7 linked regions of the Mus musculus genome follow. The protein of the gene in region 1 purifies or fractionates together with the protein of each later gene. This does not show direct contact. Links are inferred from orthologs where the notes say so. Each region holds a gene or a part of one and is shown in the gene's direction. Other genes may lie near its edges.

Region 1 (4,177 bases):
GATTATTTGTTTTGATACAGTCTCTCTCTAGATCCTTGGCTGTGCTGTACTGGAACTTGCTATGTAGATTTGGCTGGCCTTGAAAACACAGAGATCACCTGCCTCTGCCTCTCAAGTTCTGGGATTACCATCATGGCTGGCAGGGTTTTTATTTTTATTCTTCAGTTAATTTTGTTGCTTGAAGCTCCAGGCATTAAATCTAGTACGTTACTTCTAATAATCAAGCATTAAGCTCAAAATCTGGCGCCCTGAAGTCAGATTACCATGCTATGCTTGCCAGTGCTCATCATGCTGTGTTACAAGAATCTTTAGGCGTTGGGAGAGACAGCTTAGGGGTTAAAAAGATTTACTGCTTTTGCAGGGGACCCAGGTTCCCAGCACCCAAGTGGTAGATCATACCTATCTCCATTCCAGGGGAGCTAATGTCTTCTTTTAATCTCCCTGGGTACCAGGCATGTCCGTGGTGGGCAGACATACATGAAGGCAAAACATTAATGATTCTTTGTTTTGTTTTGTTTTGTTTTGTTTTTGAGGTTTGGTAAACACTATATAGCCGAGGAAGAATTTGAATGTCTTTTTGAAAAAAAAATATTTTATGTATATGGGTTGTTTGGGTTGCATGTATGTATGTGCACCATGTGTGTTCTGTATCTACAGAGGGCAGAAGAGGGTTTTCAGATCCCCCTAGAATCAGAGTTTCGGACAGTCGTGAGGCACCATGTGCTGGGGATCACACCAGGTTCTCTAGAAGAACAGCTAAAGCTCTTAATCGTTTAGTCCTCTTTCCAGGACCAGACTTTGAATTTATGACTATTCTGCCTTTAACCTCCCGCCCCTCCACCCCCACCCCCCACCCCCCACCAGTGCTGAGATCCTACAGGTCTATGCATTGCCAGAAATGGAATGAACCAAGGGCCTCCTGTACAAACTGAAGTACATTCCCATCCCAGATCATCATACATTTTTGCCAGCCTTCCTTCTGCCTTGGATGGTCCAAGAGTTATTTGACTCTTTGGTACATAGTTACCACTATTAACAGTAATGTAATGAAGGAATAGAAGAACAAAGGATTCATTGAGTAGGAGTTAGTACTACATATCAGCTCTGAATTCATGAGAATAAATATAGGGGAAATGTGCAACGTACGCAAACTTATTAAAATTGTATGGCTTTGGCTTTTGAGGAACAATATCAATAGCCAATTAAATGTCAGATCTATTAGAGAGGGCTCCTAAACTGACTGGCAGAAGGCGGGGCGTGAGCCTACCCTGACCACACCCCTCGCCCTGAAATCCGCTTTTAGACCCGCCTCTCCGGCTCGGGCTGCAACGTCAATTGGAGATGTCGCTAATCCATCAGAGCATCTCGGCGTCTATTGGATGAGCTTCTGAGCCTGGTTGCGCACTTCCTGGAGTTGGGAACGCGGAGCGGACGTCGTCTTTCCGCCATTGCTCTGCGAGCCTAGCCGCTACCTGAGTGAGGGGCGACAGGTGGGTGGTGGGCGTCTGAGGCTGAGCGCAAGGTAATCGAGTGGGCCGAGCGGCCCGAGGAGCTGCGCCAGGCCCGGGTCCCGAGCGCTCAGCCCGGCTAGAGTGCAGGCCAGGGGGCTCCGGACGTGTTCCATCTGCCCCTTGTGGGCCCGGGCCTAGCTCATTAGTTTTGGCCTGCCTCTCTATCCCAGATTCTCCCGGCATGGCCGGAGTGTTTCCTTACCGAGGGCCGGGTAACCCGGTGCCCGGCCCTCTAGCCCCGCTGCCGGATTATATGTCAGAGGAGAAGCTGCAGGAGAAAGGTGAGAGGCGAACGGGAACGGCGTGCGCGGGCTCGAACGTGTAGGCGGGTTTCATTTCTTCCCTCCATAGGCAGGTCATCAGGGGTGTGCTTATTAGCAGTATTTACATTTTTAAAAATTGAGTCCAATCATTGAAAGTTTGGAAGTGCCTGTTATTTTGCAGGAGCTTATTGTGTACGTGTGTGTGTGTAAAATGCATCAATGACGATAAAACCTGTTTCCTTATAGGGTTTGCATTACTATGTAGGAATTAGACAACAACCCTCCCCAAAACATCTATAGCAAAAATATCAGGTGGTTTGGGGTAGTAAAATGGCAGGATACTTGGCAGTGAGTATTTCTCTTCACAGCATGCCGAGGGTTGCCCCAGGGCAAGAGTTAGGGATAATTAGGGTAAATGTGTGCAGCCCTTTAAGCTGAGGTGCTTTTCTAGCTCGAAAATGGCAGCAGTTGCAGGCCAAGCGATATGCAGAGAAGCGGAAATTTGGGTTTGTGGATGCTCAGAAGGAAGACATGCCACCAGAACATGTCAGGAAGATCATTCGAGACCATGGAGACATGACCAACAGGAAGTTCCGTCATGACAAAAGGGTCTATTTGGGGTGAGTAACATCCCAGGATAATATCATATGGAGTTTGACTTCTTTCCTTCCTCTGCCCCTTCATTGACAGTGCTGGATAGAGGGACTAGCATTTGGAATGTGACTTTTTAACTGAGACAGTTTCCCTGTGTGGGCATTTTTGCCCTGGATTTAGCTCTGTAGACCGGGCTGCCCTTTAACCGATAGGGATCCCCATGCCTCTGCCTCCAAAGAGCTGGGATTGAAGGCAGATGTCACCGTGTCCAGCATGGAACATGGCTCTAGGCTGTACATAGGATGACTGTAGGAGTAAGGCTAGGACCACTGGGATTCTGTGATAGTTTCCAGATCGTCTACCTATGCCATTGATTGTTTTGCTTTGCCCTGCTGGTGTTGTTGTAAAATGTCTGGTATTGTGGAACTGTTTGAAGCTCAAATTAAGACACTAGGCATTCTGGATGCCTCTTTGGTCACTATCATTCAGAGGTTTAGGATAGTTCATTCCTGGGGTCGCTCTTTTACTGTTAATTCTTCCACCTCAAGCTGCAGAGATTCTTAACATTCCATTTGGATACAAAAATTTGGCCTGTTAATTAATTGATGTGGGGGAAGCCTTGGAAGTTTTTTTGTTTTGTTTTGTTTTTGTTTTTTTTCCTTTTTAAAGATTTATTTAATTCATTTATATGAGTGTACTGTAGATGTCTTCAGACACACCAGAAGAGGGCATCAGATCCCATCACAAATGGTTGTAAGCCACCATGTGGGTGCTGGGAATTGAACTCAGGACCTTTGGAAGAGCAATCAGTGCTCTTAACTGCTGAGCCATCTTTCTAGCCCCACCTTGAGAGTTTTATTGCAAAAAATAATTTCTTAGCCAAAAAATAATTTCTTAGCCAGGCAGTGGTGGTGCACGCCTTGAATCCCAGCACTCGAGAGGCAGAAGCAGGCTGATTTCAGAGTTCAAGGCCAGCCTGGTCTACCGAGTGAGTTCCAAGACAGCCAGAGCTATATAGAGAAACTCTGTCTTGAAAAAACCATTAATAGAAATAACAATACATGATGTGAATAAAAGTACGACGGCAAAAAAAAAAAAAAAAGAAATAACAATAACAACAACTTCTTGCCGGGCAAGGTAATAGCATACGCCTGTAACCCCAGCACTTGGGAGTCTGATTACTTTGAGTTTGAGGATGGCCTGGTTTACAGAGTGAGTTCTATAACTGATAAGGCTGGACAGAGAAACTCTGTCCTAAAAAATAAAACATCAACAACAAAAATAACTTAAGCAGCCGTGGTAGTGTTTGCATGTAATCTCTGCCCTTAGCTGCAGAGGCAGGAGAATCATGGGCTTGAGGCCAGTTTGAACTACCTGGTGAGATGCTCCATCAAAAACAGCAAAGCCACGTGTGGTGGCACAGGCATTTAGTCTCTGTGCATGGGAGACAGAGATAGGTGAGACTTCTGTTCTATACAGTGAGTTTCAGGCCAGCCAGGGCTATACGGTGGGACCCTGTCTCAAACAAACAACAATAAACATTATTACTGTTATTATTGAAACTTGCTTTTGGTCTTCAGTGAATAGACCGTATTGGTCCTTTTTTTTTTTTTTTTTTTTTTTTTTTAGGAGTATAAGTTTAGTGGTATGATGGATGAGAGACAAATGGTTACCACATAGAACAGGGAAGGTATTGGAATTTACAGGAAGGGTAGAAGGAAGTTGCTTTCAAAGGGACGGGTGTTAGTTTCTACAGACTGGGTCCCGCACCAAGACATTTGAAAGGGAGAGTGGTATTAGATGAAGGTG
Region 2 (3,930 bases), on another chromosome or scaffold:
TATCATCTGTTGTGTTTCTGTTGTATTTAATCTTAGAGATTATCCTTCTGAGAATTTTCGAGGGACTAGAGCCAAGGAGCAGCAAAGGAGAGTCTTGACATGAAGTGATACCCTGTATTTGGGCTGATCCTTAGACCTCTTTCGCCCACACTTCTGGAAATGAATGTAATTGAGTATGCACAATGGCTGAAGGGAGAAAGATACACAACCTCTTAAGTGTCACCTTGCCTCAACAACTTGCCATTACAGTGGAGTCTTAATGGATGAGCTATTTGTTGATTTCCTTCAGTCCAGGTAACCATGTCTATAAAATGTCTTTCAGGGTTCACTCTACTAAGGAGCACAGCAACTAGGCATGCTGGGGCACGCCTTTAGTCCCAGCACTGGGAGGCAGAGACAGCCTAACCTCTGAATTCCAGGCTAGCCTCTTCTACAGAGCTTGTTTGTGGACAGCCAGAGCCACACAGAGAAACCCTGTCTCAAAAAACCAAACCAAACCAAACCAAACGAGGACAGAGATAGGGCTAATGTCTCTGAGTGCCTAATATGCACTCATATACACACAAACGGAGCAAGATTAGGGCAGAGGATTGGAGGCAAAATACAGTGCCCAGTGCGATTACCTCCAATTTTCTGAACCCTATACAAAACACCTATACCTTGAACAAATAGATGTTATCTGTTCTGGGGTGAATGGACAAAACGAGTCACAGTAATTAAAGTTAACATTTTTTCTCACCGCTACAGGGCATCTGGCGCAACAACTGCAAATTCTCGTTCTGGAGTTATAAATTGTGTCCTGCTTTGCCACTTGCCAGCTGTGTGATCTTGTTTTTCTTATCCTTCCTGAGCTTCATACCCTAAAAGCAAAAAGTATATACACAGCTGGATAGATTTCCTAAACAGGACTAGGCTTTTTCAACTTTCCCAACGAACTCCAGGCGGCAAGTGACAGCTTGAGGCGCGTTTCGGTCCTTAGCAGCAGCTCAGATCAGCTCTCAGAGAGACGCGAGGGGAAAGGGAGGAGCCCGCGGGAACTCAGAGCCATTTCAGCCAATCGCACAGCGGGCGGGACGGGAGTTCCCGCCTCCGGACGGCGTGCGCGCGCACCACGCCGGCACGCCCGCCGCGGAGGCGCGCACGCAGGCCCTGCCCTCGTCGCGGCCGCCATTTTAGCTCCTGGTTCGGGCCGCACGGAGCGGGCTGTGGTGGCGGGAGGGGTGGGGGTCCCCGCGAGTTGAGCCGCGGGCCTCTTGTGCGTGGATCCGGCTGCCGGAGTCTCTCTTCTTCCCTCCTTCCTAAGCGTCCGCTTCTGGGAGTGCGAGGATGTCCAAGAGGCATCGGTTGGACCTGGGGGAGGATTACCCCTCCGGCAAGAAGCGTGCGGGGACCGATGGGTAAGCCAGGCCGGGGCGCGCAGTCGCGGCTCGGGCTTTGTTGGATGGTGGCGGGGAGCAGGCCCGGCTGCCGAGCCTTTGTCTGCCGTCGGCCGGCTGGGGCGCGTGCCGAGTGTGTGCGGCCGGGGCGAGCGGCCTGTGGCGGCCACGAGGCCGCGGAACGGCGGGCGTGCGGAGCGGGCCGCGAGGCCTCGGTGCTCGCGTGAGGCCCGCAGCCGGAACCGGATGGCCAAGGGCACTGCCCCCGTGGGCGGCGGCGGGCGCTGTCTGTTTTGGGGGAGGATAGAGGCGAGCCGACCTCGGGGCGCACTGTTTGGCGGGAGACGAAGGGCCTTCTTCCATTGAGGCACTTCAGGAGAGGCCGTTGCCAACTTCCGCCCTCTGCCTGCCCTCCCGCCATCTCCTTTATTTCCTGCTTTGCTTAAAAGCCGGCTTTGCTTTTAAGTAGCATCACTGGGGTAGGCCTGTGAAAACACGTATTTCCCCCTCCGCTCTGGAAGTTATTTCTATCTCCTCCCCACTTTGGACGCACTTTTCAAAAAAGTGATCTTAAGCGTGTTTGAACAAACAACACCCACGTGCAGATTGAGAAAGGCTTACACCGATTCCTGGTCTGGCATTTTAGTTCCTTTTCTTAGACTTTTCGCAAAGACAGGGCATTTAGCAAGTAAGCAGTTGTATTATCATTTTCCAGTCTTTTCTTTCACAGTTCATACTTAAAATGTACTTTTGTTTATATTCCTACCCTCCCATTTTAATTAGTTGTATGTTTATGCTTCGGCAGTACAGGGATCTGTTGGGTTAATTAAAAAATATATCCACGGAAGTCCAAATGTCCAAAACAGTTGTAGGATTTTATCATTTTCTTATGTCTTGTGACACCGACTCGCTGTCAAGTCAGATGTGTGGTCTCTTGAGTTTTTGTTAACGGAAAGTCCTTTGGGATTGATTTCTAACTACCAGTGTGAGAATAGGTCAGGATAGGATGCGTTCTGTCGCTCTCCTTAGGTTGAAATATTGAATACGGAAAGCAGGTTTGTTATGTTTTGATTGTGTAGGTTTTTTTTTTTAAAGCTTATAACACTAAGCATTGTAATAATAAAACATCCCAAGACAGCTGTTCTCTCAAGCAAACATTCCAAATGTTAGTAATTGAGCTCCATCAGTTCTTAGGTAGAAACAGCTCATGAATATTCTCCAAGGGAGAGCAAAGTTGCAGTGAGCTTTTTCCATAGATTATAGTGGTATGTAGAATTCTCCTTTTCTCAACAGGAAACTTAGTACTGTAGTTAGGCATCACAACCTGTCATAAATGGCATTTATATTGGATTGATAAAGTGGGGAACTTCTGTGAAGTTAAAGTTAATGTCACATTTGGCTAAGATGCAACTAATTTCTCTCCTTATAGAGGTCACATTGGGATGAACACTGAGTTTGTGCAAGCAGAGTTTTTTTGTGTGTATGTTCACGACTCAATGCTTTTATTGCAATTGGGGCTCCACATTACAGTGATTATGGTCATTTCTCTTGCAAAACATACAACATTGGCAAAATGGACTTTGCGTATATCGCGGGTAGCTTCATGTTTCCTCTGAATATTTCATATTTGTCACTAAGTACAGGAGAGTCCTTGATTTCTAGAGATTCTGCAAGGCAGTTTTTGCAGTTTCCTAAGTTTTTTGAGTACCTTTTCTTATAGAACTGGTTTTCTTTAGCAATACAGTATTTGTGCTTGGTATTTTTTTTTTTTTCCTTACTTGATTTGAAGGCACTTTTGACTGCCAGGGACTCTTTGCTTCCCTCCCTCCCCCTCTTTGCTCTTGTTTAGTGTATTTGACAGCATAGGCTTGTTCATTTTGTCACCCCAGCTGTCACCAGACCTTGCTGTCTCCATTCCAGCACGTGTGGGTGGGGGTGGGGGTGGAGGGGCGGCCAGGAGAAGAAACCACGGAGTCAGTTACCTCCTCTTGACCATGATGGCCTCAGGGGTCAACCCAGTTTTTCAGTCTGAGCCATCTCACCAGCTCCCAAGAAATCTGGGAAGGACATTTTTATCCTAATGGTTCTTAATATTCCTGATAAGAATTTGTAATTATGTGTTTCACTACAATCCCGTGGTAGCTGAAATTAAATAATAAGATGATAAGATGCAAAGGGCAAGAAATTTTCACACATAAATGTATAAAGAAAAAAGCAGTAAGCTACTACAAATCATTATTTCCATCTTTGGAGTCCATACTTATTCCTAAATACAAAATGTAATATCAGTGAGCTCTTGGGATTTGGGTCCCATTGGCTGTGTAGTACAGTAGTTGTCTCTTGTCTTGCTCATTGGTGTTAAGTGCTTTCCTCGAATTTTCTGTAGATGAAAGTATGAGTATCCTTATGTATGCACGTTAATGCACATGCTTAGAAGTTCCCAAAGTGAGACTGTCAGAAAAAAAGTAGTTTATATAAAATATCTAGAGTAGATGACTAGTTTCCATACTTACTAGCAGTATATTAGTGCCTATTATTATTCCAAGTACAATTT
Region 3 (4,216 bases), on another chromosome or scaffold:
ACTCAAGTTTCCCTCTGGCCTTACTGGCATACTCACACCCCAAAACACGTGTGCACTCGTGCAAGAAGGAGAAAAGAGGGGTACAGATAAAGAACCCCACTGGATAATATAGGTAGACATGATGCCCAAATCTCTACAAGATACTGTAAAGTTCTCGTTAGGGAAGAAGGCTGAGACAGGCCTTAAAGCCTGCCCGTACCCTACCCGTGGCAGAGAGGGCGGCAGAGACTGTTCCTGCTATACACCCCACGTTCGCAGACTGCACCTCTCTCAGTTGGGAACGGGCAGAGGGGTCGGAGAAGAAACTAAGCGAGAACCAGACCCAGTGGGCACTCTGAGTGATAGCTGGGCCAGTCCTGGGCCACCAGCGGACGCGGGATCCAGGACAAACGTAGGCTCCTAAGGGAGTAAAAAGGATCGGGTGTGCGGAGCAGAGTCCGGGATGGAAACTTACTGATGGAGAAGCCGCCCGGTTCTTCCTGGGCCACTCTGCAGCGCTCCAGCAACAGGGCTCCGAGGGGCTGCGCGAGACACGGCCATGAGCGCCGGCCTCCGGGCCGCGCGGGTCCCCCGCGCCCCCCACGCCCCTACCTCGGCCTCGTCCGGGCGGAAGTAAAAGAGGAAGTTGACCACCAGCTTCACCAGTCGCCGCTTGGCCACTGTAGGCACAGGGCGGTGTCAGCGCGGAACTGTTCTCATTCGCCCACCCAGGAACCGCGCCGGCCCGCCCAAGTGCCCCAGCCGCAGCCCCGACTGGCTCACCGCTGCCCTTCTTGGGGCCCCGCATGCCCAGCTCGGCCGCCATCTCTGCCGGCTGTCGGGACAGCGCCTGCAACTCTTTCTCGTTGTACCGCATCCCGCCGCACGGATCCGCGCGAACCAACACGCGCCCTGCCTCTCGGCCGCCGTCCTCCCCGAAGCCGCAGCCAGCGCCACAAAAGTCTCAGAGAGCGATCTCGGAAGTCCCAACCCGGTTACTGCGCCTGCGCGTTGTTGGGCTGGTTGCGCGGCCCTAATTTATGGGTCTGCGCGGTTGAACAGAGTCAGACGGGAAGGAGATGGCCCGTCCTTAAATAACCGCCAGACATACTAAGCGTGAGGTGTAAGTTAGACTCAGAGCACTCCACGATGAGCGAAGCGCCTTCCTGGGCCGGTGAACCCTAACGCTTTCCTCTTGTCACGATAGCCGGCGCCGCTAGACTTAGGGCGGAGCGAAACTGTGCGGTCGCTGCAGTGAGCACGCGCACTCTGCGCCCCGACGCTCCTTTCTCTCCCGCCTACCGAAGACGGAAGTCCATCCGCTGGGCCTGCGCACACACGAAACGCCGACGCCTTTGCTCCCGGAAGGGATCGCTTCGTCGGTCGTGCGCACGCGCGCGGCGAAACCGCGGCCTTGGCGGAGATTAAACCCGGATAGCGAGGCCTTAGCGTTGGTGAGGAGCTGCACAGTTTGTCGGTGGCGGCTGCTCCGTCGGGGAGGCTTGAAGGTGGGAGCGAAAGCCCGGGGGCGGGACGGGGAGAGGCAGCGGCCGCCCTCTTGCCTCAGGATCGGCGCGCGCCCGCCGGGAGAGCGCGCTCTCGCGAGGCCCGTTGGGTCGCCGCGTGATTGCTGGCTTGGGTGGCGCTTCTGTGGCCTCCAGGGTGGTTCGGGGTGTCCGAGTGGCGTCTCGGCGTGTATTTTGACCTCCTTGGTTGTTTCCGTTTCCACCTTCGTTAATCGGGGCCCTGGCGACCACTGCTCCTGTCCACCGGAGCAGGTCCCTTGCTGGGATTGAAAGATAACGGTATCTGCACATAAAAGGGATTTGTCCTGGGACCAGGCCTCCTCCCAGACCATTACCTTAACATATACCACGTCTCTGTCCTTATTGATCGTTCATCGGTAATCTTACGGTAGTCCGTGAGGTTGCGCATCTCCCGTCCCTGCGTCCTGGCCTCCTGTCCCAAGTTTCACGTGTGAGCCCCTCCAGTCATCGGCACAACTTTTCATTTATTTCAGACAGGGTCTCACTGCTTAACTGGGGCTGACCTGCAACTCGGTGTGGAAACTTGGCCGATTTCCAGTTCACAGACATTGCCATGCCTCTGCCTTCTCTCGCATAGTGGGACTTACAGCATGAGCCACCACACTTGGCTGTTTTGATTGGTTTTAAGGAATCGAGGGTTTATTTTGGCTGATGGTATGAAGGTGCGGTCTGCCGTGGTGGTCGTGTTGCAGCAGTAGTCAGCAAGCAGATAAATGCCCTTCCCCGCGTTTTTAAAGATTTTGTTTTAATGTGTCTGTGTGGAGCTTTGTGTGTGAGTGGGGTACCCATAGGGTCCAGAAAGGGATATCAGAGTCCCTGGAGCCTACCGCCACCCTTTTTTCTTTTATCTGAGATAGGATCTCACTGCACAGCCCGGTTTGGTCTCTAACACTAACCTAACCATCTTCCTACCTTGGATAAAGAAATGGGATGAGAAGTGTACACCACCACGCCCTACGTTTTCTGTGTTTCCTGGGGTTGGGAACTGTTGGTGGGCGTTTGCAGAGCTTGGTGCCCCATCCACAGAGCAAGCAGTGTGCTCACCCAGGCCCCAGTTTTGTTTTGCTTTTCTAAGATTTATTTATTTATAATGAGTACACTGTAGCTGTCTTTAGATACACACCAGAAGAGGGCATCGGGTTCCATTACAGATGTTTGTGAACCACCACATCATTGCTGGGATTTGAACTCAGGACCTCTGGAGGAGCAGTCAGTGCTCTTAACCGCTGAGCCACTTCTCCAGCCTGCCCAGGCCAGTTTTGTCCTAGTGTTTGTTTTCCCTCCAAAGCTCATGAACTAACTGCATTTTTGCAGTGGGTACCCATACACATTCAACCTCAAACATGTACCCCTAGGGGACCTTATGCATGATGGACAAGTGTTCCACCCTTGAGGTGCACCCTCACATCTGTGGCTGGATACCCAGGCTCCCTGCAGAGGCCAGGTATAGAGTCCTATGTTCTTGAAAGTTGTCTTTGCCAGCGGTTGAAGTGGTTTTCCATCCTGCTGTTGCGGGTGCCCTCTTGCTCTGAGAAGCCCATGCTGCCACCCTTAGACTCTGCTCTTGCATCTGGCCAACTTCATCTCTGGGAATGTGTCTCTTAGTAGCTTTCAAAGATGTAGACAATGCTCTTTTCAGTCCTTAAGTGGCTGAGTATGAAACATCCGACAAGCTGGTTCTGCCCCACCACTTCCATATACATCTTTCAGCCATTCTCTCGGCATCTAGAGCATCTTGTATCCTTTGCATTCTAGCCTCTTTCTCTTTGACAGCCAGTGGTATCAGTGTCCTGTCTGTCCCAGACACACTCTGTGGTGACACTGAGGTAACTAGGTACCTGGCCCTCAAGGTTCTTAAGTCAAATTTGCAGGAGGCTCCAGCAATATTAACAAGGACTGCCTCCACTTGTTTCCTGAGTACTGTCTCTGAATTTACCTATAGGTTTAAACCAAGGGCTGGGGCTGACACTGAGTAGTCTAAAGTGTTCTGTCATCAGATGACACTGCCTATAGGCTTTGGTTGAGCCTCAAAGATGGGACCCTTGGTACCAAGCACTCCATATGCCATGTGTCAGGTGGAGGAGGGCGTGTCCTTTAATGCCTGCAAAGGCAGGCACACAGGCCAGCCTGATCTATGTAGAGAGTAACCATGACTACATAGAGAATCCTCTCTTAATAATAATAATAATAATGAGAAAAATTAACAACAACACCGGGGAGAGGTGGCTCAACTGTGGTCACAGCTCTTAGGAGGATCAGGAGTTCAGCGAAGGGAATGACCTGCCTGCTGGGCTACCTCGTCCTAGCATCATGTACAGTGTTCTGAGCCTTAGCTGTCCTTACTCCCCCAGGTTTCTTCCTGTCCCCTGAAGCACCCAGGCCTGCATCATGGACTTTCAGCACAGACCTGGAGGCAAGACTGGGAGTGGGGGCGTAGCCTCCTCCTCTGAGAGCAACCGGGATCGGAGAGAGCGTCTGCGCCAATTGGCCCTGGAAACCATTGACATCAACAAGGTCGGGGGGAGGGGGTGCCAGTTCCCACATCCACAGAGCTCTCACATGCCTCAGTCCTTGGTTCATGCAGTCTAACGGTACATTTATTCACTCCCAGGACCCGTATTTTATGAAGAACCACTTGGGATCCTATGAGTGCAAACTCTGCCTGACTCTGCATAACAATGAGGTATCTG
Region 4 (3,500 bases), on another chromosome or scaffold:
AGCCTGTTTCACCAAACATTGCTGTTTCTCACTGTGTTTCCTGTCTAGACCTTGACTATACTGCTCATGACCTTATGAAATAATTGCATGCTGTCTCTAAAGACTGTACGATAACTTGAGAACATCATTGCTTTTCCTCTTTTTATGACCAGAAGGTGGCCCATGATAGATAGATGCCTAACAACACAGGAGGACATTGCAGCTACTGTGAGGTGGCTGCTGCATATCTCACGGTTGCTGCCTTTGATGCTCTCCATATCTTATTTGTTAAGGGCTCGATCCATATACGAGCGTGCTTTAGATGTCGACTACCGAAATATTACCCTCTGGCTGAAATATGCAGAAATGGAGATGAAGAACCGCCAGGTCAACCATGCCCGAAACATCTGGGACCGTGCCATCACAACTCTGCCACGCGTCAACCAGTTCTGGTAAGCTGCTCATTGCACAAAGCAGTCTTTGTGAACTAGCAAATACCACTTGATTGGGTATTAGGTTTATTGCAATTATAATAGTTGTATGTGTTGATTATTATATTCTATTTTTTTAAAATATATATACTGATTTTTAATGTCACATAATCTATGAATCATAATTCTAATGTCCCATGGCTATGTAATCAAACTTAAATGTTTAGTACAATTTTTTATTCATAAGAAACTTCTTAATGAAGCCTTCCTCCCCTATGGATAATTCTTTTTCAGGTTTATATTTTAATAAGAAAACATTTGCTTAAACATCTTGGAAAGATAAAACTTAAAATCAACCAGGCAGTGGTGGCACACACCTTTAGTCTCAAGACTTAGGTGGCAGAGGCCCACCTGGTTCCAGGATAGCCAAAGCTACATAGAGAAACCCTGTCTTGGAAAAACAAAGAAAACAAAACAGAAAAAAAAAACCTTAAAATCTTTCATTTAACAAAATGTTAGAAGTGTCAAAGCGTTACTTTTCCTCCTGAGTCATTTTGACCACAGCAGGCGTCTTTGGATGATTTTGTCAGGTATAAGTACACATACATGGAGGAGATGTTGGGCAACGTTGCTGGTGCCCGCCAGGTGTTTGAGCGCTGGATGGAATGGCAGCCTGAGGAGCAGGCCTGGCATTCCTACATCAACTTCGAGCTGAGATACAAAGAGGTGGAGCGGGCCCGCACCATCTATGAACGCTATATCCTTTGAATAAGGTATTAGTGGTACATGGCTGTCATGGGTATCTACCTCCCAAAAAGATGTCACAGTAAAGACATGTAGCTACTAATGTGACATTGGAAACTAGGAAGGCAAGTTTCGTCCCTTTGACAATTTTCTGTAGGGTTAGAAACTGGTCAAATAAAAATGTGTAGACTGGGTCATTTGAGTCTTTTCAGAGATATTGTGGGTTCGTTTTTGGGTTTGCACAAAGTCCTAGCTGCTAGAACCAGAGGTCTGCATTGCTCATTGGCACTGCTAATGGAGCTCATCAGAGTTGACTGCTTACTAGCTGCGACTCCAGCTAATAAATGACTCCAGAGTCATCTAGTTCCTTGAGCCTTTGTGTCTTTTCTATACAAGAAAAATTAAAAACTAAACATGGTGAAGTCTAGGTATATACTCATGTATAGAGCATGTGCCTAACATATTTTGAGACCCTGAGTTTAGGCTTCAGCACTATAGAAAACAGACCAATGTTAACAAGTGGAAGATGGTGTTTGTGAAAACACTGTTAGAAACGGATCTGTGAAGCTCATCACCCAGAGGCGCCTTATTTGCAAATTGCCACACTTACTGAAATTTATTTCGAGTTCTCAATAATTGCTATGCTTTAGCAGTCATTTGCAGACATGTATAGAGCAATGGCTGAAGTCTACTTCAGCAGTATATAGTGATGCCTGAGTGTGAAGTCAGGAGCAACCCACTGTGTCCACAAGGAGTGCTCTCCCTCTCTGAAACCAGTGGATCAAGGTTCTGACACCTGCAGAGAGAGGGACAGCCTAAAGCTAGTTGCTTGGTGCTCTGAGCCACAAACACATGAGTAGATGACTTAGTTGCCGAAGTACTTGGTGCACAACAGGCCCGTGTTTGGATCTGTAGCACGCATTTACAAAGCTGCACCCAGCATATATCTGTAATTCCAACACTGGGGAGGTGGAGACAGGAGGATTCCAAGGCCTTTAGGCTAGTCAGTCTAGTTGAATAAGTAAGCTCCAGGCTCAGTGAGAGGCCCCATATCAAATAATGAGGTGGGGAGCAACTGAATAAGATACCTGATGTCAGCCTCTGGCCTCTTGCACCCATATGTGCTTGTGCGTACACACACACACACACACACACACACACACACACACACACACACACACACACAAGAAAATAGGATGTGCTGGCTTTAGAATTTAACACTGGTCTGTGGGAGATGTGTGCACGCATATTCCTCCTAGGATCAGTGGCTTGGCATTCAGTGGCTGAGAGTTCTTACTGGCTTTCCAGAGCTGCTGTAAGCAGTGAGAACCTTGCTGTGCAACATTAAGATCTTCAGTTGTCTCTACTCATTCCATAGTGGCTTAGCAGAGGCTTGAGGAACACTGGGTTTGTAGCTGATGGGACCCTGAGCTCTTACTACTGTCAGTGCTTGGGAAAACCCTGAAGTGCAGGAACTACCCCATTCAGCAAGTGCGGAAACTGATTAAGCAACTTGATGAGGGTCTCAGGTGGTGGCACTAGGGGTATTTGACCCAGGAAATGAACCTCAGAGCTGATGGTCTTAACATCCTTGCTCCCCTTGAGTGTATTTTCCCTGTGGAAATGATTTGGCTTCTTCAGGGAAGGCTGATGTGCTCTGGTAATAAATGGCAATTGAAGATTTGTCTTTAGCTTTAGATAGCAGCTCTCTTTTTGTGGCAGTTTGTTCTTTCGTTGTGAGTAGACTGTTGTAATGAGCATTTAATGGAATAGGTGCTTTTTATTGGCCATGTTCTTTTGGCCAGAAAGTGCTAAGCTTTATAAACATTTCCTCATTTCATTAAGCAATGATGGGTGAAGTTGATAGTATTTTTCCCTTTCCACACATGAAAAAAACTGAGACAGACATTTTTGTTGAAGATCACATGGTTTGTAACTGGGTTGAGGTTTTCTTTGGCTTCAGACTGTCCCACTGCTACAATACCGAGTCAGCGTTGAAGGGAGGTCAAAAGAGTAAGGTGACCTCTCAGGCTATAGGTTAGTTGCTAGCCTCCTTTGTGTGTGCTCATCCCCACTTGTATTTGGAATTGTTGGAGTTTGGGAGGTTAGTAAGAGTGGGGGTCTGTTGTGTGGGTGTTGAACCTTTGGCATGTGCTGTGCATGCGCACTGCCACTGGGCCAGCCTCAGCCTGTTACTGGCTTAGCCGCGTTGTCCTGCCTGCTCTTTCCTTCACTCCCTGCCCGTACTTGTGCTCGTGCACCCTGCTGTGAAAAACTGGATCAAGTACGCAAGATTTGAAGAGAAGCATGCTTACTTTGCTCATGCGCGGAAAGTCTACGAGAGAG
Region 5 (4,039 bases), on another chromosome or scaffold:
TCTTAAATCCAACAAGGGTACCAGACCAAACTGTCTAGATCTGCTAACCCCACCCCAAAAAATGAATACCTCAGGAAAGCAGACTTCAGAAGCAGGCTCCTCTTCCTGACTGTCCCACAGGACACACCCAGCTCCTTGGACCGAGATAATCTCTTCTCTCCATCTCTCCGGGATCACCAAAGTGCACATTGGCCACTTTCCTATCTTTCACAGCAATATGTAATCCAAATCTAAGTCACCTTTGTACCTTCCTCCTGAAGCTCACCTTAGCTCTGTTCCTCTTTCTTCGTTCCTGCCTCAAATCTACTTAGATAACCGCGGGGATTGTGTGCATATCCCTTTCTTCCGCAAATAACGGAGCAAGAATGTGCTAGGCAAACCGGGCGGTGGCGCTCGTCTTTAATCCCAGCAGTTGGGAGGCAGAGGCAGGCAGATTTCTGAGTTCTAGGCCAGCCTAGCCTGGTCTACAGAGTGAGTTCCAGGACAGCCAGGGCTACAAAACAAACAAACAAACAAACAAAAGAATGTGTTGGCAAAGTCGGGAGGCGGGGCACTACGGCGGGTGCTACTCTTTAGCCTCGTGCAGAGACCAGATCCTCTATGTCCTTGCTAAGAAGTTACTGACGTAACCCCGGTATAGACTAGCGTGCCTCTTCTTCTCCCAGCGATCCTGAACGCCTTTGCTGTTCCTTCTGCCCCACGCATTCTTGTCAGAAATGTCTCCTGGGAGAAACCTCCTTCAACATTTCCTCAAACTTTTTTCCTTTCTGGCCTCATCGGCCGCCCGCTACACCCAGTCAGCTGTATCCCACCAGCACAGAGACCATATCTATGCAATCACCACTAACTACCAGAGACTTGACCATAGGAACTCACCGTCCGTACCAGCCTGTCCCTTTACTACAATAACGCGGCCTCAGCAGGGTGCCTTAGATCCTAATGACAGCAGAGGCAACCCGAGTAGCTCCATCCACACAGATCCGGTAGGCGCCAAAGAGCACAAACCTCTGGTGCCGGTCAGCCAATCATCGCGCGCTTCAGAATGAGCAAAACAAGTCCAGGAAACTTTAGACCAGTCGGGGAGGGGGGGCGGGGGGGGGGACCGTAGGCGCTACGACGCTCCGCCCACACACAGTTGCTGTCCTTTAGTCCTCCACCGCTAACTTGCATTGGCTGAGTGTGCTTACGTCATCGTCGCGCGACGACGGCTGCGCCTTCCCGCTTCTCACCTCTGACGACAAAGTTGCGCCGGCGTCCTGGTCTGAGAAGAGCGGGAGGAGGTGGCGGCCTTGGGAAGATGTAAGTCGGGGTAGGAATCCGGCTGCATCCGACCTCCGGGGACCTTCTGCCAGGCTTGGCGGGGCGCATCGTGGAGCCGGTTGCGTTCCTCAGTGCGGCAGAGGCCCGCCGGCGAGGAACAGAGCCCGAGGAGAGAGTGTGGTTCAGGTCGGGCGGAGTGGGAGGTGTCGAGGCCGCGGCCCGGAAGTGGTCGAGGCGGTCACCGACGGAAGGGTGATCCCGCACGGTTCGCTCGGCGGCGACCCGCTTTAGCCTGCAGGACTCCAGCAGCTGCGAGCCCTGCCGCTTCTCTTGTTTTCTTGTCAGGCTGGAGACCTAGGCTCGCCACACCGGGCCCGACCTGAGTAGTGAGTGGAGAAAGAGGGTGGGAGGCGAGGTCGATGTCTGTGGCCGGAGCGGACGGTGCAGATTGCGAGCCGGCCTAAAAGGTTGGTTTCCTTTAAAGATCTCTTTCCACGAGTGTCTGTCGGAATCCAGTGTGCAGTTCTCAGTTCTGGGCATTGAGGATCCGTCCTAGGATGGACCGAGCACGGTTACGGAGCTCAGCGGGAGAGGATATGGGAAGGTTATGGTTGATGGTAGAGACGTGGTGGAGGCTTGCTTTCTCTACCTTGTGTTACTTCGTAGGCACTGTGTCTCCGATGTGCTTTTATATGTAGAGAGTGCTTTCAGATTGCCAAGACGCCCTCTGCTCGAGATTTAACCATTTGTTTTCTCCTCTCTCTGACTGTTGGACGCACACCTTTCCGGAGGATGGGAGAGGTGACCAAGGTCCTGAGCTGTTACCTGAGCTTGAGTGAACAGAGACCCTCACCTTTGCTTTCTAGCACTCGACCACACCCAGCAAAGAGTTCGCTTACGCCGCAGTTCATAATTTGTAGACTGCTTAACAATGGGTTCTGCCTGTTTCATAAAGTACATTCCAGCAGGTCGGGGTGCGGGTGCACAAGGGTGATCTCTACCCTTTGTCACTGGTATGAAGCACTTGAATAGTAACCCAAACCCCAAAAGTACATACCAGATTTAAATGACTTAGTATAGAAAACCCACAAGAAATTTAGTAATTTTATGTTGATTATATGTTACAAAGGTAATGTTCATTTTGTTAAAAACTAGTTTTGGGACCCACACACTGCCTTTAATCCCAGCACTCAGATGGCAAGTCAGAGTTTGAGGCTAGCTTGATCAACCTAGGCTAGCCAGGGCTGCCTAGTGAGACCATGTTTCAATAGGGGGGAAAAAGCCTTTAATTTTGGACTGTCAGTACTTGTGAATGGTAGAGGTCTTGTTGAGTATACTGGGCTCAGTGTTACTTCGTGTAGCCTTGCCTGTCCTGGAAGTAGACCAGGACAGACCTTTGAACTCGAGAGCCTCATTTCCCAGTTCTTGTTTCTAAAAAAAATAAGAAAGGTTTCACTAACTTTTGTGACTTGGCTGAAAGGAGATTAAAGGGTGTGCTCATGGTTCACACTCATGGACAGTGCTGCTTTTAGTGATCTCATCCAAAAGTCAGCTGAGCTGTAACACAGTTAACTAAGCAGCCAGAAATCAAACTTACCACTGAGCTTTTAGCTGGGTGCCTTGCCAGATTGATAGATTGATTTAGCCAAGCAAGGTTTAGGGAGCTAATTGTCAGGATTACTTAACTTGGTAGTATGCTTTTGCCTGTTGTGCACAAAGCCCTGGTTTCAGTCTCCAGCTCCATATCGAAAGCCTATAATCCCAGGCGGAGGCAGGAGATTCAAGTCATCCTACATAGAACATTTGAAGCCAGCCTGGGCTAGAGACCTTGTCTTTAATAGAATAAGCCTTTGGTTCCTGTACTCAGGAGACAGGAAGGATGAGTCCCAGCAAGGTGTCATGGTACACAGCTTTAATCCCAGCACTTGGGAAACAAAAGTGGGGGAATCTCTGTGACAGCCAGAGCTACAGGATAGCAAAAAAAAAAAAAAAAATTAAGAATGAGTGCCACAGCTGGACAGTGGTGGCACAGGCCTTTAATCCCAGCACTTGAGAGGCAGAGGCAGGTGGATTTCTTGAAGCCAGCCTGGTCTACAGAGTGGGTTCCAGGACAGCCAGGACTGCCCAGAGAAACCCTGTCTCGAGAAAAAAAAAAAAAAAGACTTGAAGCCTGAAACACAGGCTTGCTTGCTTGCTTACTCCAGACCATGGAAGATAGCTGAAAAGATATAGTCCTGGAAAGAAGCTAGATAGGTAATCATTTGCCATTTCTATTTGTCAAAGTAGTGGAAGGGAACTGTTCTCATGAGCTAGACTTATTCAGCAGCATTTAGAAGGGCCCTGTTTCTGAAAAGATGTATTCTCGCCTTACACTTGAGGAAGGTGAGGAAGAAGAGTTAGGATGTATCCTGAGGCCTTTTTTTGTATTTTGCTCCAAGAGAAGTCCCAGGGAGAATTAGCTGTCTTTAGTTGAGTACTTACTGTTACGTGGCATTATTGCTAAACCCTTAACACTGCCTATAAGATCTCAACCCATTCAGAGGTTTCAACAGTTGTGCCTACCTGACTGCTGACTAGATCTACCAAGTCACATTTTCCCCTTATTTGTTTATGGTTTACCTACCTGACAGTCTTACTTTTTTTCTTGCCTTTTTCTTTTTTTTCTTTTTTTTTCCTCCCAGGCAGGGTTTCTTTATGTCGCTTTGGCTGTCCTGGAATAGCTCTGAATCAGCCTGCCTCTGCCTCCCCTGTGCTGTGGTTGAAGGCTTGCACCGCCGCT
Region 6 (3,931 bases), on another chromosome or scaffold:
TGGGCATGGTGATACACCTCTTTAATCCAAGCACCTTAGAAGATCCCATTCATTGTAACAGTAGCATATGTCATTTTCTCTACTTAGTTTCAAACGACTCTTTTTAAAAATTTCCCTCCTTTAGTCCCAGCACTCAGGAATAGAGGCAGGCAGCAAGGCCAGCCTGGCTTACAGAACAAGTTCCAGGACAGTCAGGGCTACAAAGAGAAATCCTGTGTCAAAAACCAAACACAATACAACAAAACAAACAAACAAAAATCAAGTAAAAATGAAAACATAAACAGCATATGAGCGGCTATATTGAAAGGCTCTGGTTTTGATACCTAGCACTGGGGGGAAAAAAGGAGACTGTAAAGAAATTGTGTGGAAGGTAGACAAGAGCCATTAGAAATCCCTAAACTATCTCAATATGTAATTTCACAAGATAGACATGCCACTGTGTTGTGTGTGTGTATATATATGTATATGTATATGTATGAATATGTATATATATATAAGTGTATACATATATATGTACTTTGTCAATAGAATTTTAAAATAGCTCTTATTGGAGATAAGCACTGTGATGCCATCTGTAATTCTAGCCCTTGGAAAGTAGGGGCATCTTCAACTATATAATTAGTTTGAAGCCAGCTATAAGCTGCATGTCCATCCCACCTTTTCCCTAGCCTTTATTTATAAAATTCATCAATATTTATGTATGGTTTTTTATTAGTGGGGATTGAACCAGGGCGTCTGACTTGCTAGGTAAACACTCTGATCACTGAGCTATGTCCTCAGCTCTGTCATGCCATACCAGTAAGGTATGATTTAAACTCTATATTGAAAGGAGTCTCAGATCTGTTATAACTTCGCATTTGGTTACATTTCTTTCTCCGTAACCGCAGCTTTTTCCAACTTAATTCTTAGCTGGATCTGAGCGCGATAGCGCACACTTTTAATCCTAGCATTAGGGAGGCAGAGGAGGGCGGGACAGCCAAGGCTGTAGAAAGACTCCACCTGTGTGTACGTTCGCGAAACCGATGGGCATTCGTAGTCCTGCCACGCTTTCGCGAGGCCCCGCCCCTCACGCCCCGCCCACCTGGGCGTGTTCTTCCTTCGCCCTTTAGACCCTAACGGAGCGGAAGTGTCGCAGCGCGGCCGCCGGAAGTGTCGCGCGGCGTTGTGCGACCGGCTGTGTGCTGAGTGGGGCCTGGACCCGGAGCGTTACCGCTATGTCGATCGAAATCGAGTCTTCCGAGTGAGTCCTGCCGTGGCGTGTTCGCGGCGTGGCGTGTTCGCGGCGTGGCGTGGGGTGGAGTGGAGGGTGGTCGGAGGACGTTGGAGGGGGAGCTGCGCGCCGGAGGTTGCGGCCTCGAAGCACTTTCCGGGTTGGCTCCCTCTTTAGATGGGCCCGCGAGAGAGCAGCCGTGGGGCGGGCCGTCTGGAGCCCCTGGGCCCCGGCGTCGGGCTGTGCTGGGGCACACCGAGTAGACCTGACTACTGTGGTTTCCTCTGCTAGCCACACCGCCCTCGGCGCTGCCCGGGTGTCCGCCAGTCCCTCAGCTCTTCCTTCTGGTCCAAGCACTAGTTACCCCAAAGACTCTGCTGCTTCTCCTATCTGATTAGATCCAGTGTGGTGTATTGATTTGGTTTGCAATTTGCAGAGAGAGAGAACCTCTTTGTGGACACAGAATTTGAATATTGATTGAGTCAGAAGAATGAGACTTAGTGAAGGCGGGGACGGCGACGAGGAGCCAGGTGGGCGGGGAGTGAGTGACTGAAGAGTCTTGCTTGGACTCCCCAGGACTCCACCCACCGCCTTTTATTTTTTGAAAAGTAAAATTAAATTATGAAATTAGCAAACAGCTGTGTTCTGAGTGGAGGGGAGAGATACGCATGTTCTGAAGATCTGCAGAAAAGCAAGGTTTATTAATTAAGTCGGCGGAGTCTGAAACCTGCTATGTATTTTTAAGACTGAAGCTGGATGTGAAGTATGCACGTCTATGATCGCAGTATTAAATGGGCAAGTAGGAAGGCCTGGAGTCCAGCCTGAGCCTCTTCATAGCGATATATATATATATATATATATATATATATATATATATATATATATTTTTTTTTTTTTTTTTTTCCGAGACAGGGTTTCTCTGTATAGCTCTGGCTGTCCTGGAACTCACTTTGTAGACCAGGCTGGCCTCGAACTCAGAAATCTGCCTGCCTCTGCCTCCCAAGTGCTGGGATTAAAGGCGTGCACCACCACGCCCGGTGAGATACATATTTTTAACTCAGTTATATGTAAGTCGTTTTTTTCCTGGGTTTTGCTTCTGAGACAAGGTTTTCTGTGAAGCCGTAGCTGTCCTGGAACTCACTCTGTAGACCAGGTGAGTCTCAGACTCAGATTCACCTGCCTCTGCCTCCGGAGTGCTGGAATTAAAGACGTGTGCCAACCCCCAGCTTTATAAATCGTCTTTAAATGAATATATGCTTTGATTGCGGGAGGCAGACAGTAGACAAAAACAGTAAATAAAATATGACGCAGTAACAGATGGTCCCTGTGTAGAAAAATAAAACAGCGACAAAACGTGTTGGATAATGTTAGTCGGGACAGGAACTGCAAAGGATATTTTACCCTGAGGTCTAATAATAGCCTTAACGACCAATCTTTGAGTCTTGAATACCCTTCTATATGAGGAATAACTGCATGTTCATATTATTATTGTTATTATTATTGTTGTTGTTATTGTTTTAAGACAGGGTCCTGGCTGTCCTGGAACTCACTCTGTAGACCAGGCTGGCCTCAAACTCAGAGAGATTCACCTTCCTTTCTTTCTCTGCCTCCAGAATGCTAGAACTCAATTTTTTAACAGACCAGATTTTTTTATAGCATTTTAGATGACTCAATTTGTTAATTTTGTTTTTTTGAGGCAGGGTTTCTCTGTGTCGTCCTTGCTGTCTTGGAACTCACTCTGTAGACCAGACTGGCCTCAGAGATCCACCTGCCTCTGCTTTCTGAATGCTGAGATTAAGGAAGTGTGCCACTACTGCCTGGCCAGTTGATTTAAAAAGGAAAATGTCATTAACTATTTCAGGTTTAAAGTATTTCACACAAATGTCCAGTAGATCTAGTGATCAGAATAATAATGGCTACCAACTTCCTTTCAATCTCCAGACTAAATGACTTTCTTTCTTTCTTTCAGTGTGATCCGACTAATCATGCAGTACTTGAAGGAGAACAGTTTACATCGGGCACTGGCCACCTTACAGGAGGAAACTACTGTCTCTCTGAATACTGTGGACAGCATTGAAAGTTTCGTGGCTGATATTAATAGTGGCCATTGGGATACTGTTTTACAGGCTATACAGTCTCTGAAATTGCCAGACAAAACCCTTATTGATCTCTATGAACAGGTAAGAGTGAGGTGATGTTGACGGTTTTGGTCGGGCCCTTAATTGGGAAGCATCAGTGAGTCTCTCTTAAGCACTTAGGGATTAACTGCATGTAAGATGTACCTGTCAAGACACAGCAGGGTCTTTCTTTCTTTCTTCCCTTTTGGAAGATTCAAGATTTTTCCCAAACTGAAATTATTTCTTGGTATGGTTTTGAAGATCAGACCCAGGGAAACTGAGATTACTTTTAGGTAGTCATTAAATGAAATAGTTTAAAGCTGAGCATGGCCTTGAGGCCAGGTGGTATACATAATGCTTTCCAGGCCAGCCAGGAGTAGACTTTGTATGAAAGGAAGGAAGGAAGGAAGGAAGGAAGGAGGGAGGGAGGGAGGGAGGGAGGGAGGGAGGGAGGGAAGGAAGGAGGGAGGGAGAGAGAAAGAAAGACAGAGAGAGAGAGAAAAGAGAGAGAGAAAAAAATATTCTAATATTAAATCATATCATGTGATTCAGTTCAGGCACTGACCACCAGGAATTAACACACACCACTAAGTCTGACATAGAT
Region 7 (3,500 bases), on another chromosome or scaffold:
GAAGAATGGGGACTAAACAATTAGTGTAAAGAGCAGAGCCTCTTTCTCTCACTGATACCACACTTCCTACCTGCACTTTCCCTGCTACTTAGGATCCTCTTCCTCCTGTGTCCACTTGCTCCACTGTTTCTGTTTAAGCCTGTTTCACTGCTCTGCGTGTTGAAAAAAGCCATGGTGCTAATCCAATACCTTAGGATCCTTTTGGTTGATTCTGTCTGTATTATAGTTCTCCCACCCCAGCAAAGAGACTGGTTCCTCAGCTGATTGGTCTTGCACACCCACGAGAATACTGTCCCTACCCACTGTAGGACCTCCCCACTCCAGTATCAAAGGCCTCTGAGTTGCCATGGCCCTTCAGCCCCTCCTAGTGGTTCTGACTGTGCTCAGGAAAGCACCAGCACAGAAGCACGGCCCCAGTATTTAACAGTTTTCATCTGAGTTTGAAAAAGAATAAGGTGGTATTTCTGATCAGGACTGTCTTCCAGAGCATCAACAACTTCATTCCTGTTTTGACTGCCACAATTTGGAGCTGTGTGTGTGTGTGTCCTTGAGCATATATGTGAGTGCCACATGTATGCCAGAGGCCATGAAGGACAAAAAAGGACATCAGGTCACGTAAAACTTGGAATTACTAGCAGTTGTGGGTTGACATATGAGTGCTGGGAAACAAACCCAGGTTCTCTATAAGAATAGTAAGCACTTGGAACTATGTCTCCAGCTATTCTTAAAGAAAAAATTGCTGGAGCTGAGACGAAAGGATGGACCATCTACAGACTGACACACCCAGGGATCCATCCCATAATCAGCCTCCAAATGCTGACACCATTGCACACGCCAGCAAGATTTTGCTGAAAGGACCTTGATATAGCTGTCTCTTGTGAGGCTATGCCGGGGCCTGGCAAACACAGAAGTGGATGCTCACAGTCAGCTATTGGATGGAACACAGGGCCCCCAGTGGAGGAGCTAGAGAAAGTACCCAAGGAGCTGAAGGGATCTGCAATCCTATAGGTGGAACAACGTTATGAACTAACCAGTACCCCCCCCCCTCGTGTCTCTAGCTGCATATGAATCAGAAGATGGCCTAGTCGGCCATCAGTGGAAAGAGAAGCCCATTGGTCGTGCAAACTTTATATGCCTCAGTACAGGGGAACACCAGGGCCAAGAAGTGGGAGTGAGTGGTAGGGGGGTGGGGGAGGGTATGGGGGACTTTTAGGATAGCATTTGAAATGTAAATGAAGAAAATACCTAATTAAAAAAAAGTTGCTAAATAAAAGAAATAAAAAAAAAGAAAAATTGCTGATTAAAACTAAATTCTAGTCAGTCCCTAGAGATGACCAGAATGCTGTGGGTGATTTATGAGTCTAAACCTAGCAACTAAAAACTGTCAGGAAGTTAAGATCCTGTCTCTGGTTACATGGGCCTCACTGCTCAGACCTAGGTTCCATGGCCCGGATACCAGCCATAGAGTCCTACAGCTACACTCACCTCCTGCTACTACTATGGAGGGAGAGTGTGCAAATCCACCACACATGGAGAGAGAGACATCAGGCCACAGTGAAACTATGATGGTGTCTGCTATATATGACCTGCCCATGTGTCTCCTGACAGAGTGGGAACAGCTTCCACGTGTTTGACCAGGGCCAGTTTGCCAAGGAGGTGCTGCCCAAGTACTTCAAGCACAACAACATGGCTAGCTTCGTGCGGCAGCTCAACATGTGTAAGTACCTCTTTCAGGATGCTATGCTTGCTTCACTGGGTGTGGAGAAATAGACCCCAGCCTATTTCTAAGAGATGGAGGCCTGGGTTGGCTGAAGAAGGGTCCTCATGAGTTTGAGCCTGAATTCTCCAGGGAAGAGTGTAGGATATGAGGCCCTAACCTAATGGCCACACTTCCATTTACAAAAAGGGAAGCTGTTCGGGGACAAAGTCTTTTCCAACCAAGAATAACTTGCTATGTATGGTAAATGGACACCAGTCAGACTCTCGTACAGTTTTCTAGGAGGCCCCTTGCCTGCCCTAGGCCATGGCTAGGCTGTTGAAGGTCTGGTCCCTGGCCCTCAAACAGAACTTCCCCCACCCCCATATACACAGATGGCTTCCGAAAAGTAGTCCACATTGAGCAGGGTGGCCTGGTCAAGCCTGAGAGAGATGACACCGAGTTCCAGCATCCTTGTTTCTTGCGTGGACAGGAACAGCTCCTTGAGAACATCAAGAGGAAAGTGACCAGCGTGAGTCACCAGCCCTGAGTACAGCCCCTCCCTGCCCTAAATATTCCTGCAGGCTATGGGCTGGGAGCAGTATCTAGGTGGTGCTGCAGGACTAGCCTAAAAGCATAGCCTGTGCTCTCTGTCTCTGACCCCCTCCCCCTTCCCAGTGTTTCCCAGGCCCTCCTCATTCCCTGGATGCCTAGGTGAAGCACAGGAGCCTACCACACTCCAGAGCCACTTTCGACTCTTGTATGCCCCACCCCTTAGGTGTCCACCCTGAAGAGTGAGGACATAAAAATACGCCAGGACAGTGTCACCCGGCTGTTGACAGATGTGCAGCTGATGAAGGGGAAACAGGAGTGTATGGACTCCAAGCTCCTGGCCATGAAGCAGTAGGTCCCAAGGCTCAGGAGGGTGGCCAGGTTGCTTTGGGTCTCCTACCCGATCCTGCAGAGCCATTCAAGCCTCCTTCCCCCTCCCAGCCTGCCTTCATTGTTTCTATGGAAACCCTGTCTTGTACATCTCCAGACACAGAGTGGGGTTGGAGGTCTCCTACTGCACCCACTTCTCACTCCCCTGCTGGAATTCACATTTTCAGGATTTGAGCACACAAAGCCCATTTCCAGGTGCCTCCCTAAAAACCAGGCCTGACAGGAGCTGACCACAACAGTCCTTGGGCCAGACCTCTCTACTGTTCTCTAGTCACAATGACTCAACTCGCCCTTTATCACTCACTCAGCACAGTTCACAGCTGCCTTCTACCCCAAAACTGAGGGTAATCTGTAGTTTAGGATCTTTCCCAGAGACCTGTCCTGTGTGCCTAGCCAGTATGTAACAAGTGCCCCATTGCAGCTAGGATCCTAAGGTACCATCAGATTCTATCCATGCCCTCCCTCAGCCCTGGCTGACGTTTGAATCCTGCCCTGTAAGTAGAGTGGAGTTAGGGAATCAGTTGTGCAGTGAGCCCTCATCTGGTCCAGCCCTGTCCATCAACAGCCTGATTCTCTGGCTCTTCTAATGTGGCCCAATTGACCCAGCAATGTGTTGCAGCGAGAACGAGGCCCTGTGGCGGGAGGTGGCCAGCCTTCGGCAGAAGCATGCCCAGCAGCAAAAAGTTGTCAACAAGGTGGGCAGGGCTGGTGGTAGGTGGGTCCCCTCCATGACTGGGCCAGGGTGACAGTATCCTTTCTGCCCCACAGCTCATTCAGTTCCTGATCTCACTGGTGCAGTCGAACCGGATCCTGGGGGTGAAGAGAAAGATGTGAGGCTCTGGGAATGTCTACACTGTCCACT

The links.
Region 2: the proteins of Prpf8 (region 1) and Dhx15 fractionate together in Homo sapiens (co-fractionation; 3 studies listed by BioGRID, with this or other methods). This does not show direct contact. The link is inferred for Mus musculus from reciprocal best matches to the Homo sapiens genes PRPF8 and DHX15.
Region 3: the proteins of Prpf8 (region 1) and Sf3a2 purify together in Homo sapiens (affinity purification with mass spectrometry; 3 studies listed by BioGRID and IntAct, with this or other methods). This does not show direct contact. The link is inferred for Mus musculus from reciprocal best matches to the Homo sapiens genes PRPF8 and SF3A2.
Region 4: the proteins of Prpf8 (region 1) and Crnkl1 fractionate together in Homo sapiens (co-fractionation; 3 studies listed by BioGRID, with this or other methods). This does not show direct contact. The link is inferred for Mus musculus from reciprocal best matches to the Homo sapiens genes PRPF8 and CRNKL1.
Region 5: the proteins of Prpf8 (region 1) and Rnps1 purify together in Homo sapiens (affinity purification with mass spectrometry; 3 studies listed by BioGRID and IntAct, with this or other methods). This does not show direct contact. The link is inferred for Mus musculus from reciprocal best matches to the Homo sapiens genes PRPF8 and RNPS1.
Region 6: the proteins of Prpf8 (region 1) and Smu1 purify together in Homo sapiens (affinity purification with mass spectrometry; 3 studies listed by BioGRID, with this or other methods). This does not show direct contact. The link is inferred for Mus musculus from reciprocal best matches to the Homo sapiens genes PRPF8 and SMU1.
Region 7: the proteins of Prpf8 (region 1) and Hsf1 purify together in Homo sapiens (affinity purification with mass spectrometry; 3 studies listed by BioGRID). This does not show direct contact. The link is inferred for Mus musculus from reciprocal best matches to the Homo sapiens genes PRPF8 and HSF1.

Annotation. Positions count from the first base shown.
Region 1 is NC_000077.6:75,485,400-75,489,576, forward strand, and holds the start of Prpf8 (pre-mRNA-processing-splicing factor 8), read left to right. Parts: upstream 1-1,377; 5' UTR 1,378-1,692; coding exon 1,693-1,792; intron 1,793-2,225; coding exon 2,226-2,394; intron 2,395-4,177. UniProt on the Homo sapiens protein: Plays a role in pre-mRNA splicing as core component of precatalytic, catalytic and postcatalytic spliceosomal complexes, both of the predominant U2-type spliceosome and the minor U12-type spliceosome.
Region 2 is NC_000071.6:52,187,747-52,191,676, reverse strand, and holds the start of Dhx15 (pre-mRNA-splicing factor ATP-dependent RNA helicase DHX15), read left to right. Parts: upstream 1-1,130; 5' UTR 1,131-1,326; coding exon 1,327-1,397; intron 1,398-3,930.
Region 3 is NC_000076.6:80,797,319-80,801,534, forward strand, and holds the start of Sf3a2 (splicing factor 3A subunit 2), read left to right. Parts: upstream 1-1,416; 5' UTR 1,417-1,487; intron 1,488-3,877; 5' UTR 3,878-3,914; coding exon 3,915-4,040; intron 4,041-4,137; coding exon 4,138-4,209; intron 4,210-4,216. Other genes in the region: Plekhj1 (pleckstrin homology domain-containing family J member 1), read right to left, coding at 455-521, 592-659, 763-856. UniProt on the Homo sapiens protein: Component of the 17S U2 SnRNP complex of the spliceosome, a large ribonucleoprotein complex that removes introns from transcribed pre-mRNAs.
Region 4 is NC_000068.7:145,928,201-145,931,700, reverse strand, and holds part of Crnkl1 (crooked neck-like protein 1), read left to right. Parts: intron 1-272; coding exon 273-431; intron 432-1,000; coding exon 1,001-1,167; intron 1,168-3,401; coding exon 3,402-3,500. UniProt on the Homo sapiens protein: Involved in pre-mRNA splicing process. As a component of the minor spliceosome, involved in the splicing of U12-type introns in pre-mRNAs.
Region 5 is NC_000083.6:24,413,436-24,417,474, forward strand, and holds the start of Rnps1 (RNA-binding protein with serine-rich domain 1), read left to right. Parts: upstream 1-1,239; 5' UTR 1,240-1,297; coding exon of another isoform or gene 1,298-1,299; intron 1,300-1,605; 5' UTR 1,606-1,727; exon of another isoform or gene 1,728-2,070; intron 2,071-4,039. UniProt on the Homo sapiens protein: Part of pre- and post-splicing multiprotein mRNP complexes. Auxiliary component of the splicing-dependent multiprotein exon junction complex (EJC) deposited at splice junction on mRNAs.
Region 6 is NC_000070.6:40,755,086-40,759,016, reverse strand, and holds the start of Smu1 (WD40 repeat-containing protein SMU1), read left to right. Parts: upstream 1-1,131; 5' UTR 1,132-1,214; coding exon 1,215-1,240; intron 1,241-3,179; coding exon 3,180-3,390; intron 3,391-3,931. UniProt on the Homo sapiens protein: Involved in pre-mRNA splicing as a component of the spliceosome. Regulates alternative splicing of the HSPG2 pre-mRNA. Required for normal accumulation of IK.
Region 7 is NC_000081.6:76,494,362-76,497,861, forward strand, and holds part of Hsf1 (heat shock factor protein 1), read left to right. Parts: intron 1-1,608; coding exon 1,609-1,717; intron 1,718-2,091; coding exon 2,092-2,228; intron 2,229-2,474; coding exon 2,475-2,599; intron 2,600-3,257; coding exon 3,258-3,333; intron 3,334-3,406; coding exon 3,407-3,468; exon of another isoform or gene 3,469-3,500. UniProt on the Homo sapiens protein: Functions as a stress-inducible and DNA-binding transcription factor that plays a central role in the transcriptional activation of the heat shock response (HSR), leading to the expression of a large class of molecular chaperones, heat shock proteins (HSPs), that protect cells from cellular insult damage.